Struthio camelus: one gene and its partner. The protein of the gene in region 1 purifies or fractionates together with the protein of each later gene. This does not show direct contact. Links are inferred from orthologs where the notes say so. Each region holds a gene or a part of one and is shown on either strand. Other genes may lie near its edges.

The links.
Region 2: the proteins of ZNF687 (region 1) and ZMYND8 purify together in Homo sapiens (affinity purification with mass spectrometry; 4 studies listed by BioGRID and IntAct, with this or other methods). This does not show direct contact. The link is inferred for Struthio camelus from reciprocal best matches to the Homo sapiens genes ZNF687 and ZMYND8.

The regions. Positions count from the first base shown.
Region 1 is NC_090971.1:75,972-85,464, reverse strand, and holds the start of ZNF687 (zinc finger protein 687), read right to left. Parts: upstream 4,215-9,493; 5' UTR 4,114-4,214; intron 4,055-4,113; exon of another isoform or gene 3,919-4,054; intron 1-3,918. Other genes in the region: putative PIP5K1A and PSMD4-like protein, read right to left, coding at 5,281-5,448, 5,704-5,771, 6,055-6,186, 6,751-6,859, 6,954-7,169, 7,808-7,876, 9,125-9,211. UniProt on the Homo sapiens protein: May be involved in transcriptional regulation.
Region 2 is NC_090959.1:8,661,711-8,672,125, forward strand, and holds the start of ZMYND8 (MYND-type zinc finger-containing chromatin reader ZMYND8), read right to left. Parts: upstream 3,805-10,415; 5' UTR 3,554-3,804; intron 3,450-3,553; exon of another isoform or gene 3,403-3,449; intron 2,196-3,402; 5' UTR 2,084-2,195; intron 1,438-2,083; 5' UTR 1,282-1,437; intron 1-1,281. Other genes in the region: translocating chain-associated membrane protein 1-like 1, read left to right, coding at 4,614-4,733. UniProt on the Homo sapiens protein: Chromatin reader that recognizes dual histone modifications such as histone H3.1 dimethylated at 'Lys-36' and histone H4 acetylated at 'Lys-16' (H3.1K36me2-H4K16ac) and histone H3 methylated at 'Lys-4' and histone H4 acetylated at 'Lys-14' (H3K4me1-H3K14ac).

The DNA.
Region 1 (9,493 bases):
CATGGACGTTTCATGGGAGAATCACCAAGCTCTCCCCAAGTGTTCTGCCAAACGACGCCCACCTCACCTAGGCTCATTTTCACGTCACGATTCAAAGCTACAGGCTGGAGGGTAGGAGCAACTTTCCCCAAGGTGATGCAGGACAAGGTCCTGTCCACAGGTAAGCACAGATGTTCCTAGCGCAGATGTCTACGTGGCTGCAGAGTGCCAGGTTCCCGCATCAGACAGGCTGCTCAGTTATAACATACTCAAGATGGTTTACCCTAGTGGCAAGTCACACACACACTCGTTGCGATTTAGCCTGGCAGAGCTGGAGAAGGCCAAGAGTGGTGGTGTACACATTCAGGGCAGAGAAGGGGCAAGCTCCAGGTGGGGAAAGGAAACACAGCTTAGCCTCCTTCCACTTGCAGCATAAATACCCTACCCCGACAACACCAAGAACAGCGAAGAACAACGCAAGCACCACGAGCTTCCTCAAATGAACACTGCCATTTTCTAAAACACAGAGAAGAGAAAAGACAGCCCCCAAAGGTCCACAGGTGGGAACAGAGGCGCAAAAGGGGCAGAGATTCACCCAGGATATCCATGTCCCCAAACTAGCTGACTCCTAACCTGATGCTTTTCCCAAGGTCATAAGGATATTTGGGACCTAGAGCAAGTAACAACCCCCATTATGATCTCTGGCAGCACTGCCCAGCCTTCGGAGCATCCTTGTCTCGCTTCAGACATAGCCTGCTGGGCTCGTCCTTCCTCCAGTGCTAAGTCACGGGAAAGACCTGCCTGCTTGGTGGAAGCGCTTAGAGATCTCGCAGGTAGTGCACGCTATTAGTAATTTCCAGCTAAGCCATCCCCAAGACAGACTGAGTGCTCTGAGATTGTCAGAGAACAGAAATAGAGTTATCTCCATTGTGATGCGATTCATGCTATTTCATCATACCGAGTTTTACAGGATTAAGTTTCCAAACTCAGCCAGGACACCCCATTTATTCTAGCAGTATAATTAGAAAATCTGCCATGCAGGATGCCAAAAGGAAGGGAACATAGAGTTCGCTCGCTCTCATCACACGCTACAACAGCCCCGTGCCATCACTGTGTTTGCTTGCTCTTAGTACATTATTATTTTTATAGCACCCAGATGCGTGCTTAGGTGTTTTATGGCACAAATAAATTAAAGCTCTACAAAACTTGTTGTAGGGGGCAATCCCACATTAGCAGAAGTACAGATTAGAATAGATGACCTAGAAGAACTTAATCAGAGGGGAATAAACCCAGAAAATTATAGACAGACTTGATTCCTGCAAGACGTTGAGCATCTCAGGCATTGTTACTACTACCGCTCTCAACACCAGGAGGATCTTCCTGGTCATCAGAGGAGTTTCCGAAATACCTCCACGCTCACATCACATCTCCAACAACCCACTTCTCACATTTCTGCAAGGTCCCATTGATTTAAATTGGTCTCTGCAGAGAAATCAGGGCCGTAACAAGTCTCAATTCCTAAATGAACTGCTTAAATCAAACACACTTAAAGGTCAAGGCTATCAAACTTTCTCTGCTCACTTTTTAAAGAAAGTTTCTTGCTTTGAATAAAACTCACTGTGGGGAGATAATCACAGCACCCAAGGACTGCCTGTTACACGATTACACGCAGACAGATCAGCAGCAAGGAATTAAGGGACTTTTTGGGGCAGAGATCAAGAAAGGGGAGGAGGAAGGAAAAGGGAGAAACTGGGTTTGAGAGAAAACAACAGTTACTACCAATTGAACCTCACTCTCACAAACAAAAAAACAAGAGGCCCTTAAGGAAGTGGCCAATACCCACAAGAAACGGCCACACCAAAATGCTTGACTTCTCTGCAACGGAAGTCCATCCCCCTGGCCTGTGACTCCTCTGCTTTCTCCTCCTCCTCCCCAGGCCTTCAGGAAGGAGCTCCCAGGGCAGGGTCACCTCACTGCCCACAGTCCCAAAGCAGCCCCCAAACCTGCACAGCCTCCCCCGAACCTCATAGAGCACCTCAAGTGTCTGCAAAGTGGCAGCCAGAAGCTCCTGGGAGACTTCACTGCTCCCAGTTATCCCCTGCTGGAAGTCAGGGTGGATGGAGACACAATGCCCACCTCTCTATAAGCCTTCTCCCAGCTCATTGCCCTCCCTTTCTTGCATCTGGATCCACGCCAAGCCCTCCTAGAGGGCTGGCCTGTGAGCCCAAATCCTCCCAACCATCCCAAGGTAGGGAGATAGCTAGCACAGGCCCTCCTGCCCTCCTCTTTCTTCCTAAAACACATGTGTTGCCATTATGAAGACTACAACAAGATCCTCCCCAAGCCTTCCTTATTCTCTCCAAAACTAAAACCAGGATAATAGCAAGATCCTTCCTCCCTAAAACCTACACAATAAGGGAGGCACAGCACCATCCTTCCAGGACATTGGAGGTGTGATAAGAGACCCACACATCTCATTCTCAACTGCCATCTTCAGGCACAGGTACCTAGAGAAACCAGAGTGGCTCTGCATGGTTCAAAACTGGACCAGCCTCTTATTCACATGGCCGCTCCTCAGAAACTGGAGGAGCAAGAACCCCTCCCAGGAAATGGGGCTCCAAACCAAGACGCCACCTTATTTGTAAGGTCCTTTCTGCCACATGCACTGGGTGAGGTCAGGACCCATCCCCTTATCCACCAAATCCACCTGGGAGGACAAAGTGATGCTTCTCTCCACATGGAGGAGGTGCATGCTTTAACCATCGCTGACACATGGGAGGTGGGGAGATGAAAGCTCCTCCTGGAGCTGGAGGTGAAGGATCCCATCTGTAAGCAGCCAGGAGCAGGAGAGCACAATGCCACCCCTCTTTTGGGCACGTGCTCCTCCCAAAAGAGATGCGAGGTGAGTATTACACCTGAAGAGCTGGGGGAGCCCACAGCCAGCCCCTCACAGAACCACATGCCAGTGGGGAAAGGCTCCCCCCACTCAGCCCCCAGGGCAGGAGGGAAGAAGGCCAAGACCAGCATGCCCCCAGAGCTCTGGTAGGGTGTGACAACACCTCAAGTCCCAGAGCGGAGAAGGAGAGGCAGGACTATGCTCTCCCAGGAGCTGGGGGGGGGGGGGTTGGAACACGACCAAACGCCCCAATATCCCAAACTGGAGTAGGGTAGGAACAGGATGAGATCCTCCCCCCCCCCCCCCCCAGGAAGTACAGGGGACCATGGCCAGCTCCCCTCCCATTTCCAAGGAGTCCCCAAGAGCTGCAAGGGGGAATGGACAAGTGCCCCCATCACCAGGGCTGGGGGAACATGGCCAGGCTACAAGAGATAGGGGGGAGGGGAGCCAAAATCAGCTCCCCAAAAGCCCCAAGGCTGGGGGAAGGTGTGTGACCAGGCCCCCAGGAAATACAGGGGCACATGACCATTTATATCCCCCACCCAAAAAACAAGGAGTGGCAGAGGATAACCTCCACCCACTCCACAAATCCCGAGGAGGGAAAGGGCATGAGCGCTATCCCTCCATAATGCTAGGAGGATGACCGTTATCCCCCCAAACCCCGAGGGGGAAGGGGAGGACCGTTACCCCCCCCCAACACACCCCAAGGGAGGAAGTGTGACTGTTACCTCCAAATTCTGAAGGGAGGTGACCATTACCCCCCAATCCTGGGGGACAGGGATGCCTAAGCCCAACCCCCTCGGGAGGGGATGAACTCTCCAGCCCGGGAGAGGGAGAAGTGGATGTCCCCCACCTCCCCCCAAGATCTCGGGGGAGGTAACGGACCCCCCCAAACCCCAGGATTTTGGGGGACCCGCGCCCAGCCCCGCTCAGACTGGGGTGGCCCGTCCCGCCCCCCCATAGGCCCGGGCGCCCCTTGGCCCTTCTTCGCGGTCCCCCCCCGGGCCGGGGGCCCCTCAGACCGGGCCCGGCGGCGGCGGTACCTGCTGCTTCAAGCGGGGGTCGGGGGAGGCGTGTGGCTCCCGCCCCAGGCCCCTCCGCGGCGACCGCTTCGCCTCAACCACTTCCTGCTTCGCTCGCGCCCCCTTCCCTCCGCCGGCGGCCGCTCGCGCGCCGCACGCCCGCCCCCACCCGCGCCGCGCCGTTGGCGGAGCCGCCCGTCACTCGCCGCCACGTGCCTTCCCATTTGCCGTCGTGGCCGTCGCTCTCAGGCGGCCTCGGCTTCTCGCACTCGCCATTGGGGTAGCGGGCGACTACTCCGCGGCTGGGGCCCGCCTCCCGTGGCGTGTGCTCATTGGGGGATGGAGATGCCATTCAAAGGCTGGTCTCCGCCCACTTCGGCTACCGCATTTCCCATTGGCCGCTGGCGATGCCACACCCACAGGGCAGCCTCGCTGTTTATTGGCTGACTGCTGGGCTCATCACGCCAGCCCTCCCGATGCAGCTCCCCATTGGCTAAAGGAGGCTGTCCTTCAAGTAGCGATTCTCGCAGCTATTGGTCATGAGCCGTGGCCGACTGGGCGTCTCCCTGCTATTGCATCTCTATTGACCGAGAGGTTCGTCGATCAACATGAGGGCCCGCCCATCGACCGGTCCAATTGGTTGAAGGCTCTCAGAGGAGGGCTGACCCCCATCTCCTATTTGCCAGGGATGCTGTCACTCAGGGACGGGGGCTGACTGCCCCCCCACCCACCCGTAGGCTGGCAGGGAACGACAGGGCCCAGCCCCACTAGCATAGAGCCCTGTCATGCACACGTGCTCCTCCCTCTCAATTTTCCAACTGGCTGTTCCCCCTGCCGCTCACAATGAAGCCCTGCCTCTCATGGAGCTGCATGGCCGCCACTCAATAAAAAAGTCCACCTCATCCCACCCTCCCCCCCACCTCAATCCCCCATTGGCCGCACCCAGAGCCCCATGAGCAACAACATCCACCTGCAAACCCCACTGATTGGCTGACTCCACTGCTCATCAACGGCTCATGCCGCCCCTAGGGCTGTGTAAACAGTCCCTCAGCGCTGGCGAGGGCTGGAGCAGGGCATGCCGGGAGGTGGTGCAAGGGGCGGGGCTTGGCACCGAGGCCTTAAGGGAGGTGGGGCCCCAGGGCCTAGTTCCCCCAGCACTGGGGACAACTGGGGAGCCCCTTCCCCCAGCTGGCCCAAAAGGGAGCGACAGCAACTTTAAATGCTTTTATTAACCTGTTACATCAAGAAAACCCAGACCTACCCTGTCCCCTCACACGCTTGGGGCTCCTCCACGCTTGCCCCAGGGGCAATGGCTACGCTGAAGCGATGAAGTGTGTGACCGACTCACTGCCCGCCCATCAGCGAGACCCAGCCCCAGCGCTGTCACTTTTTCTCCTCCTCCTTTTTGTCCTTGCTCTCCTTGGAGGCCTGTGAGGCCAGGGAGCCCATGGCGTTGCGGATGGCCTCGTTGTTGGGGTCCACGCCAGGCAGGTTCTCCAGCACGCTCTGCAGGAACTCGGGGTCCTGCATCACATCGTAGTCATCTTCCTCCTGCAGGGAGAGAGAGAGGAGTCAGGGATGGGCTGGGATGTGGTCATGGATGTGCCCCTCAGCAGGACAGACTCTGCCAGGGAAAGGGTGGGTCCTAGTGACCCAGGAAGCTGAAGCTCAAGGCAAGTCTGTAGGGTGAAGGGATGGAGGCAGCACATAACAAGGAACCTGGCCCCAGGGCTGAGCACAAGCAGAGAGGGGCTCAGGGATGCTGGGTCAGGCCTTTCCAGACAGACCAGGATGGCAAAGCATCACCTTAGCGGGTTCAGATGTGTCCATGGCTGTGCTGCTGTCCACTTCTGCCGCCTCTGCCTGGGCAAACTCTGTTGAGAGGAGAGAAACAGCTCAGAACAGAGGATTTACATACCTGCAGCCCCAGTCTGGACATGGTGGAGGACAGAGGTCACAGTTGAGCGGCCCAGGTACACACTTCACAGGCATTCAGGGAGATTCAGGCCCTGTCCAGGCGACAACTCCCCACTTCAGGGCATGTCAGTGTGTAGGGGACAGCGGTTCTAGTCCCAGATATGGAGGACTTGCCCCTTCACCCTTGTTCTGGGGCAAGTCAGCTGAGAATGAGATGAGCGCCGGCACCCAGCCACTCACCCGCTCCCTGCAGTGACATCTGCATGGCGTAGGCAATTTGTTCCTCCTCCGTCATGCTGCTGAGGTCAGGCAGCCCAGCTCGGCCAAACTCCTGCTGAGTTATCGTCATCTTCAGCAAAGCGTCGTCTGAATCTGCACGGACAAAACCCCGCACTCAGGAACCAGCCAGGAGAGCTGCTCTGAGTCGCTAGGTGACAAGGGCACTCCCATGGCATGACCAGCAGCACGAGAACCGCTTCCACTGTTGTAAATGCAGCTGTGCATTTACACACACAGCTATGGGGAAGGGGGCTAGAGCACAGCAGCTCCCTGCAGCATTCATGAGACAGGGGGATCTATCTCCATTTGGGAACAGAGGGGAGTTTCAGAAGAAGTAGGATGTAGCTCCCAGGCCTGGATCTGCATCAAATGCTGAGGCTAAACAGCCTGATTGGAGGCAAGTCCAATGATTCAGGCCAGAAAGCCCCTCACGTTTCACCGTGGTGGCTCTGGGAACAGCAAAATTGCACAGAAGAGCCCTGCCATGAACAGAGCCTACATGCCACGGTGTCGGGGCAGCCCCACACCTCTGAGCGCAGCTACAGGAGTCCGGGCACCCCTTCCCACTGGCTGGGTGTAGATGTGCTCCCTGGGGAGCATGCTGCCTCGCCCTACACACTTGCCTTGAGCAAGCTTATTCCCTGTCCAGTTCCTTACCGTCCCCACCAGTGGCTGCGATCCCAGCCTCAGCCGCAGAGGCGGCTGCAGCCCTCCTGGCCTCCTCCTCTTGCCGCTGCCTCTGCTCCTCCATGGAGACCCGCAGGGCCTGTGGAGACAGGGACAGTGCAAAGATGAGCTGGGCAGAGCTCTGACATCCCAAGCTCATGCTCACCATCACCCTCTGTCTCCTCATCGCTTACCAGAGCCAATTCTGGGTCTGCGCTCGGATCCACACCAAACTCGAAGTCGCTGGCCCCAAGGCCCAGCATGGCACCGCCCTCCCCAGCCAGAATGGGGGAGCTGATGAGGGCATCGGCTAGGCTCGGCCCCGGAGGCACTGTCACCAAGTGGGAGCCAGTCCCATCCTTGCCGTTTAAGGTGTTAATGAAGGCAGTGAGCTTGTCTGTATTGGCTTCCTACAGTCAAAGAGAAAAGCTGGGATTAGAGACTGATTTGACTCCCTCATCAGCTCTGTGAGGGACAGGCAGCAGGTCGCTCTACACACCCCAACGTCCTCCCAGTCCTTGGCTCACTCTCTACAGCTCTCACAGTACAGGGTAACCAAGAGCTGTACAAGCGGCTTGGGGTTATGCCACGCTTCATCCCTGGGGGCTGCCATCTGTCACAGAGGCCCAGTAGTGGGCGGCTGCGCAGCCCTCCCAGCAGGAAAGCCATGCCTTGGCTGTATTATCCTCTTGCAAGCTACTTTTCTCCCCGTGAACAAAAACCCCCAACAGTGCCCGGATCAGAGCAGAGCAACATGTGATGCTGATCCCAAGACAAGGAGTGAGGGGTCAGAAACGCCACTCAAAGGCACATGAGTGGCTCTGGTATTTCCTTTAAGGAGAAAAGCATTCAACAATGCTTGCAGTGAAATGGGAGAGGTCTCTTACTCCTGACATTAGCATTTTTATTGAGACAGCTGCTAAAGAGACTGAGGTTCAGAGAACTGTTCCTTTTTTTCACTCATGTGCCCAAGCAAGATCTACAGGCTGGAAAGGATACAAAACCCTGGCTTGGATCTGAATTAAAAGGAACAGGGGAGAAGTCTCACCTCTTCTCCAAAGTTGATTATGTCAACGTTGACTTTCTCTTTCTTAAGACGCTTTGCCAGTTTCACCAGCTGCAATAAGGAGAAACTGCAGCATTAGTCTTCCATGGCTTTGATTTCAGTTCTTATATATATTCAGCTCATCAGAAACCAGACAACAGCACTAAGGATTCACTCCTTGAGATGCAGAGCCCCAGTTTGGAGCTTCCCAGATTCTAGCCCTCACAAGCTCCAGAGCTATTTCCCAGCAGCAACACATTTGAGATAGTCCATATATGGGATAGGCACTACCAAACAATGCCTAAGTCACTTCAGGGTGGCACGAGTGAGAAAGTTCTTGCTGCCAGAGGAATTAACTGTCCCCATCACTTCTGCGAAAATGCCAGCGAGAGCCTGGAGCAGGGAACATCATCTCCCCCCTAAAAGCAGACATGTTTTTTACTTGCTCTTTCAGAGAGACCCAGAATGTCTGGATTAACTGTGTTTGCCTTATTTCAAGCGCAAAGAGAATAGCACCTTCCTAAAGTTCAGAGTTTGCTTTCTGCTAAGGGATCCAGATAGCTTCCCTTAGCTCCTCAGACTAAAAGCCCGCAGTGATCTAGGTGGCAGCAAGAAGTCAGGAGGCCCAGGACACAACACAGGCTTCCTCAATAGACAGAGCAGCCTGAACTGGCAAAAGGAAGCGATTCCACACGAAACAGCAAGAGATCTGGATCTCTGTCCTTGGCTCAGGTCTGACCGTGCCCATTCTGCCTGGCAGCTCTGGGCCTGCCTCAGAGGCTAAATGCTCAGCTGACCCTGAGCCCTTCATCAAACGATAAACATGGTTCTCTTCTGAGTGCAAGTGTATCACGTTTCCCTGGGAAAGGAGCCAGTGCTAACGCACTAGGTTCTTCAGAGAAAGCCAGCTGTTTCGTTGCATCAGCCTTCTTCCATACTTTGCAGAGATGCCTGAAGAACTGCACGGGTTGGGCTGCCTCTGTCTGCATTAGGTTTGCCCTCCAACACAGAAATACCCTTCACACCTGCCTGGCTCAAGCTCCCACACTCCAGACCCCAGCCCCAGTCTGGGTCCGTTCCCCCGGAGACAGGAACCCTGGCAATGCCTACAACAGCCCTTCCTCACTCTCTCTCTTCCTCCCCACTCAGAATCGCCCTGCTAGCAAGTGCGTCTGTCAGGTGGTCTCCTTGCTGGCATATAAAGCTTTATGTTTAATACAGAGCAGGGAACTATTCAAAGAAGCTGATTTACAGTTCAAGGCATTCAAGCAGGGTGAGGAACAGACCCAACATATTTTTATTTGACTTGTCATTACTCACATCTTTCTCATTATCTTCTACAGGGCTCCCAACAAAGGCAATGATTCGCATCTTGTGATTCTTGCCTTGACGATGTTTTAAAGCCAGCTACAAAATAAGAGTCATATGCTACTTACTGAGCAATTCCCAGGAAAGAAGAGATGGCCATTAATCACTTCTCTTACTTTCAGGAAGGTGCGTGCTACTTGCACACACAGGAGAATTTAGGCTAAATATCAGGGGAGACTTTTCAGTAGCAATTTTCATCAAACTGAGAGATAGCTGAACAGCAGAAGCCCTGAAGGAAGCTAAATCCACACCAACAGATCAGCAAAGAACCAACTGGGCTGAGAGCAACTCGCAATTTCTCCTCTTCCACCCCAAATCCAG
Region 2 (10,415 bases), on another chromosome or scaffold:
TCTGCTTCGTAGTGCCTTATGAAAAGGAAAGAAAAGCAAGCAATACCATGCAGAAACATATCAATCATACATCCAGTTCAGAGTCCTGACTCTGCAATAACGACTGGATCGTATACTTCAGAGAAAGGGCCAAAACTCTATTTCCCGTTGTGAGAAGTTATACTGTAATAGAAAAACTCCCTTCTGAGCCCAGCTAATTCTTTAATTCTCAAATGGACAAAGATTGTTAGGCTCCTGTAATTTTCATTTCAGCTACTATTGTTTAACTAGAACAGTTTTTATTTTAACTAGAACTATTTTTATTTTGTTGCTGTGGCATTTTATTTTTCTTGCTATTAATTGCCAAATGTTTAAAATAAGCCTGTCCCACTCAAGTGTTTTCCTTTAGGCAAAGGATAGAGAAAACATCAGACATGCATGTCTTCTACTTCCTCATATCTTGTATCTGCCATATCCTTCTCAAACTAAGGTAGGACCTTTCCTGCCACATACGCTGGAATTCCACTAGCTTTAGGAAGATTCTCTCCAGGCAGAAAGTTTGGTGTAAAGAGAATATTTTACAAAAATATGGCCTAGAAATCCTGATCCTTTTGTACTTTGCCTTGTAAATCCTGTGTATTAAGAACAGACAGAGAGCAAAACAGGCTCAAACAGATCAACCCCCTACCCTCAAATATTCCTGGGCCCAGAACAAGTCAAGGGAGATCACCCTCATTTCAGTCACACTCAAATGATGCTTCCTCTCCTCCTGCCATATAACTACAGCTGAAGACTGCAGAAGGAAATCACCCATAGGAGGAGCAGCAGTAAAAGCAGGGATATGACAGTCCAACATTTGCAGACAGGCTTGCCTAAGACTGTTTTTCCCTTGGTGGTTTGCTCCAGTCCTTCTTTCCTAATGCTTTACCATGTGTGTCTGTGGCCCTCTTCTGTTTTCCCCAGCTTGTCTTTTCCTATGTAATCTCTCTCCTCCCCAGAAAGTCCCAGAAGAACAAAATTAACGTGTTTTGGTGCCAGTGGACTATTTACTGCTTACGAGGCATGGTTCTTCCCCATAGTGAATCTAGCTTGTCTATTTAGATCCTAAATTCTGCTAGATGCGGTCTCTACGCTACTCAGTGTTTATACGGTGCCTAATACAAAAAAAGCCAACAACAAAATACCCCCCCTCCATGTTGGCTGGCCCTTTAACACCCCCCCCCCCACACACACACACAAAAGGAAATCATGCAACCAGTTTGAATGTATTTGCCTAGTGATTTTTAAATTGGGTTTACTTACCCCACGAAAATGACTAGTGCTTTCTTCTTCCCTGAATTTACTCCAATTCTGAATTAACTCATCTTATTTAACTGAAGCATAAAATAAAGGAGTCAGGTTGGTCATTCTTAGCTACTTCAGCATGGTCAAGCAGGTCTCTGGTTGATTTCTACAGCTCTGCAAATAGCATTAATAAGTGTAATGATACAACTACAGAAAAGTTTAAACTGCAGGTTAAGCTTTTTTGTTTCATTTATTTAACAGAGAAAATATCTATGAAAACAAGTAAAAAAGGAAACAACAGCTTTCTTGGCTAAGTTAATTTGTTTAAAGGAGAGGACAATGGAAATGACCCACTAGGAGCCAAAAAAAACTGAAGCAACCTTCAAATTAATTAATGAACTACCAGTACTCATTAATGTATTCTAGAAGAACCTACTCTGCTCTACCAGAAAAAGGGATGAGGGGGAAAGGCTGTTGCCATGACAGTGACATAATTTAGAAATACTGATGAGAAGATGCCCATGTATAACGCAGAAGTTGTGGAATCAAAGAGGTAAAATACTTGAGACTTTAAACCTGGAACTTAGAGCTTAAATAATATAGATACAGAATTATGAACCAGGCAGGAAAGTAGATAACCAACAAGTAAGTGGGTTGTCTTTTGGCAGGCCCACCCAGTTTTGTCAGTTTTCAAATCGTAAATATAACTTCTGAAAAGACACCTGAGAAAAGTAAGTAAATGTAAGCAACAGAAGTATGGCATTTCACTGACCTCTTTATATGTATTTATATAGTGCGTTAAACAATAGAGTTTACTTACTTGCCAAAGACAGAGCTCAGCAATCTCAAGTCTTCTTCAAGACGCGCATCATACACACATTGGAACGAAAGGGTCATTTCACTTCATTACCTTAACATGATGTTGCCCTCAACTGCCAGAGGAGAAAAACAGAACTTGAACAGAGGGTTCCACAGGGTTCTAACAGGTGAAAAGGTGGTCTGAGACTTCACTTGAGCGCCTTTTTTTTTCCTCTTGCCTCCCAGACACAATGTTTTTAACTCCAAAGTAGGTTCAAGACTTTTGTCAATTCAAATAATCAGTTTAGACAACTGTTAGCTCCTCTTGTGCACAGAGTATATCTATATTAGAAACTTAAGTTAGTAAATGTACAAAGGCAGAAGTCAGTAGATATCTCTAGGAGCAGGTACTTGAACTCAAATACTCGTTTAATATTACTGTAAATTATCATATCTGACTGCCTCATTGTATCTCATTGTCTAAATCAGTTTTATACCTAGCAAATATGCCTCAAGATTCATTTTTCTGAAAAAATATTACTAGATTAATTACAAATCTTACTTAGGTCATGTATTAAAATTGAGTTTCTTGTAAGAAAACATGCATCGATGCAAGTGGGGAATCGGTAATAAAAGTTATCTGCTCCTAAATTTCTTTAGTTTTGTTTCAAAATAAAAAGTCAAACAACATTGCTTGTTTGGAACTTGAGCAAATATATGAGAGCTGAAGTTTATGCTGAGACTATCTACAAAGCTATAAACATAGAACGTAAAAATATAAAAATCCAAATAAAATGAATAAAAAAATCCATAAAAATATAGAGCCCTATAGCTTTTTTCTTCTAGAAAGTCATGTTCCCAGTTCATAAAAATACAGACTAGCTTGCTCACCGATATGGGACAAAAACGGTGCAAATTATATTAAAGGGGTATATTCTGGGTTGCAAAACCACATTCCAGGCTTGTGTTTCTTGGTACTGCAAATTCCCATTTCTATTTGGCATTATTTGCCCCTATCTCTAATATGTTTCCAGAAGAAGGGAAAAAAATTTTGAATCATAGTTACAATTTCAATTGGGGATACTCTTTTTAGCTTAAGAAAAAAGAAAAATAGTAATTATAATAAACAATTAAGTCTTGCTATTTTATCATTTCCTTTTCATCAAGAAACCAATAATGGTTTGTAAATGATTTACTGCAAGTATTTTTATTTAAGAATCCCTCTTTTTGGCTGAGGTAAAGCATATGCATGGCCGTTGCCTCACCAAACGTCCGTATTGTACAAGCGCTCTGTAGCAATGCTTAAATTCACACATAAAATGCAGCTTCTGAATACGTTACCTTGAAACTCAAAATGAGGGTAGAAACAGGAGCATGAGTATTGTCAAACTGACTAACTAGGAGAAAGCATAACAGAAAGGAAATTCTGTGGCACATAGAAACCGCTTCAGTGAGCCTAAAACATTTAAAAATCAACAGGTAGCAAAACTACCTTCAAAACGGAACTGATTTTTTGGTCCTATTTAGCAGCTGGCTCCAGATGAATCATCCCTTCACTGGAATCAGCAGACGCTATGCTCCCCACAGCAGGGGAGGCATCTGCGTGCAAGATGGAAGCGAAGTTCTTTTTTCCCCTTTCAACCTTCTCCTCTGTGATGCCATCACCCCCTCCGGCCTTCCCCTGCCTCGGTCACAGTTTTGGTCAACCGGTCTGCTTTCCCCCTTGAATTCCAGCTAGAGCCTGCAGGTGGCCAAATCCTCACATCTCTAGGGCCTCAAAGCACCTTTTAGCCCCTCCCCCTCCATTTCAATGGAAATTATAAAAAAGGAGGGTAAGGTGGGGATTTCCCAACAGCTTTTCCGTTTTTGCCTAGCGGTGGTGAGCGACCACTGCCCGCTCGGAGGCGGAGAGCGGGGCGAGGAGCCGCTAGCCGGCTCTGAGGGCGGCGCCCGCCACCTGCGCAGGCGGCGCTCCTCGGGCCTGTGAGGGGAGCTGGCCGCCCGACCTGTCTCGCTCCCCGCGGGCCCTGCGGCGGCAAAGCCGCCCTGTCGTCCCCGGGGCTGTGGCGAGCCCAGCCCCGCCCCACGGAGACCGGCTCGAGCCGGGCCAAACCGGACTTGCCCGCTCCCCACAGCCGCCGCCACCTGCAGAGACGGCGAAGGCGCGCCCCGAACGCCAGCTGAGCCAAGCCCCGCCCACCGACCACTATCTGTGGGGGGGGCCTCCTGAGCAAGCCCCACCCATCCGCACATGGGACTGGATGAATCCCGCGTCACTCATGTCGGACCCCCGACTCCAGTCGTGAGTGCCCGACTGCCGCTGAAGTACCGCCCCCCTGGAAACCGCTCCTCCCGGCCGCCTCGCGACTGGCTGCTAGGGCTGCTAGTTAGAGGTCGTCTTCAGCTTGATTGGCTGGCCAAGGGTGGGAGGCGGGCCCTGGGAGCAGCGGCGTTTACTGGGCGGGAGGTGAAAGTGGCTGCCGCGGGGCGGGGGTGGGGAGGTGCTGCTCCCCTCGGCGGGGCCGCCGGGGCCCTGGGCGCCGTCCACCGCCATGGGGCTCCGCCGGAAAGCCAGGAGCCCGGCAATGCTGAGCCACGAGTTCGTCATCCAGAACCATGCAGACGCCGTGTCCTGCCTGGCGGTGGGCCTCCTGCTGGGGCTAATGTTCGAGGTACCGGAGCAGGGTGAGGGGCCCGGTGGGCGCCGAGCCGCGCAGGGACGCGAGGCGACAGCGCGGCGCTCCGGCTTACCTCCGCGGAGCTCCGCCCCGTACATCCCCGCCGTTCGCCTCCGCGCCGCCGCTGCGCAGCTCTGCCCTCTCCCCTCTTCCCTGCCGGGCTGTGCCCCGGTGCCTCTTTGCCCGGAGGCCTGTTGGCTGCCTGGCACCCTGCCCGCGCCCCCCTCCGCGTCTCGACAGGAGCTTCGGCTTTGCTCGCTCCCGCTTTGCTGCTCGCTCTTCGTTTGTTTGGTTTTCTTTTTTTTTCGTCCAGCTTTCCTTCATCTCTGCATCTGTTGCACGCCTCGCAGCCTCCCGTAAATTCCCTTTTACTCAGTTCCGTTCCCTTGAATAAAAAAGCTCCTGAGACCCCTTTGCTTAGAGCAAATTCGTGTGTCTCTTGGTCGTGTGTGAGAGTTATTTACTTTTTTTTTTTTTTTCCCCCTGTTCAGACGTCCACGTGGTGAAGCATGTAGGAGCACTGTTGCAAAGAGGGCTTCAGGCAGCCACTGATGTTTTAAGCAGGCTTAAACCAAATGGTAGCTAAAAACTGCTTAGGCGCCCTTTGCACCGCTGCTCCCTCTGTTGCTGAGTCAGCTCGGTAGTGACGGATGACCTGAAGAAAAACGCAAGATTTCACAATCTCAGACTAGTTTCTGAATTTCTCTTTCCCTTTGCATTTGAAAGTTACCGTACAGTTTATTTCTATATGCAAGCAGCTTATTAGTTTCTTGGGTTGTGGCTGTTCTCTTTTAGACATCTTTTCCCTACCTTTGGGACAAAACTGTTGTGTGTTGCCGTGTGAGTCTATTAGGCTGGTGTCGAGTGTGTGGTAGGGCTTTGTAAATTAATAGATAACTTAAATACTTTCCTGAAACATTTTAACATCAGTTGGCTGAGATGTAAAATCAGGTTATTTTAAAAATGCAAATGCTTTTAGATTCTCAGAGAAGATACTTCCCTGCAGATGTCTTTTTTATTTTTATCTTGACCCACTTCTGAAACTGTTAAGGATACTGTGCAGGAATAGAGTGGAGAAAGGAGTCAGCAACAGTCAGACAATTTCCTTCTAAATGTTGGACAAATCCAGTGTTGATGTGTAATAAATTATGTCTATGATATGAAAGTTAATATGTGAAATGCAGAACTGATTTAAAAAAAAAATAACTAGGCCCTTGGGAGCTGAGGTGAAAAAGGCTTTTTAGTTAGCTTTTAAGGAGGAGAGTAAATGCTTGCACCTGGGATAAAACATTCATTTTAGGATTCATTCGCATATGTAGAACTTCTTATGTATCTTGTATATGTTACTTTTTAATGAGGTTGCCTTGTGTGTCTTTGCTGTTCTAAAAAAAAAAAAAGTGTGTTTTCTGGAATTCAGTCTCTAAATTCCATTTGTCTTAGCTCAGACTTTGTATGAACACAGGAGTTGTGCTTCTGTAAGTAGCTGGTAAGTCTACTGGTATTTGGAGGTACTGTGCAGCTCCCCCAGCGTATTTTTGCTCTGGTGGTGAAGCTTACCTCTTTTATAGGAAGAAGAGTAAGCCAATATTAGTTAAACCCAAGCATAATTAGCAGAATATCTCATTTCTACTCAGAATAAATCTGAAAGTTTAAAATTTTGCAGACTAGATTCCAGTGTAGCTTTTGATTATTTTCTTTTTATTGTGTTTGTTTGACTAGACTTGTGTGCTTTTTATAGTATAACTTAAACGTTCTGCATGTCCGTTTTTGATGCAAAAATTATCTGTAGATTGGGACAGCATTCACTTCTTATGCAGAGGAACGATGGTTCTATGTAACAGGTGATAAACGGTTTTGTTGCCATAAGTATAATATTAAAAAAATAAATTCTGTACAGCCTTTCATTCTATTGACAAATTTTTTTTGGTGCTAGACCTCTGTCTCATTCACCGCAGAAAAGCACACAGTAGTTACTGAATGAAACCTATATTTCATTGTTCACCATGTAGGCTTTGTACCATATTTATTATGTGTAATACAAACTCTGACAACCAAACAAAACTACTGATGTTTTTGAGTATTTTTTGTGACGTTTATCAAGACACTATGTTGAGTGCTTCATAAGTGTTACTGAACATGCCTACACAGCTGTTATCCCCATTGCCTTCTGGTCTTGATTTCCTCTCTATATTAAAGTGAAATTATTTTTAGGTTTTGAGTTTTGGGGCACTGAATGACTACTATTTTTTTTTTTTTTAAATCAATGTTTTTCAGAGCATTTTGTGCTTGCTGTGATTTCAGCTGCAGCTGTCAGTGGCAGGTTTCCAGATCCAACTTGTGGTACCTTAGATTGTACACTTACGAACTAAAGAATGTACAAATGAAACTTTTTACAGCTGACTACCTCTTTAATGATTTACTCAGGGCTGTGTAGTGACATCAGAGTAAATACAGGTTTTCTTTTCTAGGTGGCATTCAATTGCCTATATCCATGAGGCCATCCAAAAAACAATAGGTATGTTAGAGTTAGAAATTAGCGTTAGTATGTAATAAATTAAATTATAAGAATTTCTTTAAAGGAAATTCTTATGCATGGTTGTTTTTCCACCTTAATTGTGCTTTTTTATACCTTAACTTTGCTAATTATTATGAAGTCTTTAGAAGTTTGTAATGAGATCCACTCTGATTATAACATACTGAGAAGGGGCTGTTAAATTTAGTACATAACTGCTATTTTCTTTCTTCTTCCTTCCCTGAGAATCTTTATACAGCAGCCTTTGTGTGTCTAGTCCCAGCGCTTTTCTTGATGAGAGAGTGGACTTTGTCTTTGAAAGAAACTGCACTTTCATTGTGCACGGTTCTTTTTAAGCCACTAGTGCAATCTCAGAAAAATTTCGTGTGACGTCCTTCTAAAACAATTTCCGTTGTTGCTTGCGTTCTGTGGTAGGGTGGCCACAGATACCGCTTAATGGAGCTCCCGTACTTCCAGCAGAGTGGAACATTTGTGGTATGTTATCGGCTTAACAGACAACCAGAAAAAGTAATAGCTAATGTGATGGGCTTTAGCAAGGTTACCTGCCACCTTCTTCTCCCAAAGTGCGTGAAAAGTAGCTTATCCTCACAAAAGCTACTGTCCTAATATATCTTCAGGAGATAATTGAGTATGATTTCAGTCCCCTTTCAGAATGAAAGGAGGCTGCCGTGAACTCAGAGAGCAACACTTTTTTTTTTTTCTTTTCTTCCAGAAAGAATATTTTTCTCCAGACTTTGAAGGGCAGCCCTGTGGTTACAAACCATAAATTGAAAAATTGCCTTTCACTGCCTTTTAGCTGGACCATAACTTCAGGTATCTTTGTGGCTGTCTATAAATCTAACAGTTAGTGCAGTGCAGTGAGCCTGTATTGTAAAAGCAAACTGTGTCATTCTTCTAGACTAACTTGCTTGCAAGTTTTTAAGAATTCTTCCTGTACTTAAGGAATTTTGTTAATTAAGTAATGATGTAGAGGGTATTCTGTATACTTTGTTAAAGTACAGACCTCAAGGTTATGGAGTTGTGACCAATACTTTTGTTTAACTTACAGATTTTTCCTTCTGTTGTCTTTGCGATTTGAGCTGTTCTGCATTTTGTAACGAGGCTTCTCTCGGAGCCTGCAGTCATTCTCTCGCTCCAAAAACAGCACAGTGAGGGCAGAATTGTTGACCACTTCGGTATTGCTAAGGCTGTCAGGAAGCTCTCTTTTGACATGGGCAGTGACAGGGAAGAGGCATGTCCCCTAATAAAGGGGTCTGCAGGACGTACCATGGTGCTGTCTGAATGCTGTGCCACAAAGGAGCCTGTTGCTGTGGGTCCTGAGTCGTAACTGACTGAAAGCAAGCATCGTTGTTTTAGCAAGATGCTGATGGCATCAATACCTACGTAACTATATTTTCTCTGTCTGCTAGAAGCAAACAGTTGTCAGTGAATTCTTTGCACTTTCGCTGAATGAGTGTTTTAAGTTGTTTTTGCTGCTTTGGCTGCTTGTTCTTCCCCTCAAGCAGACACAAGACTTTGTGTAGCTGACCAGTGCAGCAGGTTAGGAAACTCATCTGTGTTAAAATTAATAGTTTTTCCTCCCTCTTGTTTTGCCGAGTCAGTTTTAACTTATATAATTCTGCTGTCCAATTTACCGTGCAGCTACTTGTGATGACACGTGCGGTGCAGAGACAATCAACTGGTGGTAAAGAGAAAGGCCAGATTGCTCTTCCTGATGGTAGTGCTGGCTTATGCAAGCTTAGCTTGTTCATGGAACTGCAGTGCAGTCTTACAGTCAATTTTGTATGCCAGAAAAATCACTACTTTTTTTTTTTTTCCTTACTGAGAATTTCTTTCAAAAGTGCTCTTCAATATTATGACTCCTCTGCTGCTTAATTTCACAGGTGCACTCCCAAACCCGTGTACGTAAATGATTTGCCTCCCCCTCCCTTTTTTGTTACAGAGGATGTTCTTCTACCTTGTTGTGCCACTTGCTTACTTTGTAGCTGGGTAAATTTGTGCTGGTTTTATATGTTCCAGTATGTTCTTATTTATATTTTTAGCAGTTAGGTTGTGTAACATGAGGAAAAATAGCTTTCCTTTTTTAGTTTACGTTTCCTTGTAAGTCATCTCTATGAAATCCAGTTTAAGAGAAAATGTAAAAGATACAAGAATTTATTCTCCTTTCTTATGTTAACTTTCAGTTAATGCCTGTTGTCCATCTCTGATTTATGTCCTAGATAACGGAGTGCTTGCCATCATAATAAATGTATTTGCTATTGGCAGTGTAGGATGTAGTTGCATATTGCGTTTTCTGCAGCAATGAAACCGGTTAGTTTTTCCCCTCTACTCACTTCTTTCCATGTGCTTATCAGTCTCTCGGTTAGATGAGCGCAACTGTTTCTGAAGTCATGCAAACCAGATCAGTGAAATGTTTTCAGTTAAACTTAAAAATTATGTTTGCCTCTTATCACTCAGTCATAGGTTCTATAAGCCGTGCTGTAAACCAGATGATAAACAGTTCCATTGCCATAGCTAAAGGCTAAATACACTGCAGCATGGGAGCGGGAAGAAGTTGTCGGGAGATACAGATGACTGAAAACTTTTTAACTAGCTTTGCCACTGGAGAAAAAGTAGCATGAAAGTATGCCATTGCCTACTTAGATTGTACCGTAGTTCTTAGAAAATGTTTGCTTTCTCTGGCTTGATTTATCATACAAGGAAATTCATGGATGGATTTTTTAGTTCTGTTATTCTTTGAATACCCAACTTATTTATGCTCGCTCTTAGCCAATATGTCACTCTTGAGTATCTTGCAAGGTTAGCTGAAACTTTCTGTCTGCATTAATTTAAAGGATCTTTTAGCTTTTGAAATAACTGAAAGACGTTTGCACTTCTAAACACTTAAAAACGTTATTTAGTACAACGGTGAGTAATTGGAGCCTTAGCTAAAGGGATGTAATTCAAGTTCTGACTCTACGCAACAAACGTTAAAGGATTTGCAGCATGACGAGCCTCTGCGGTTGTGGGAGATGAATAGCACTTTCGGGACCCCTTTGATTTAAATCATGTATGGGAGAACGTTTGTTGATGCCATAATCTTCTACTTTTGGGTGTTTATAGTCTAGCTTGTTTGAAATATCTGATACCTTTTTCTTGTCTCT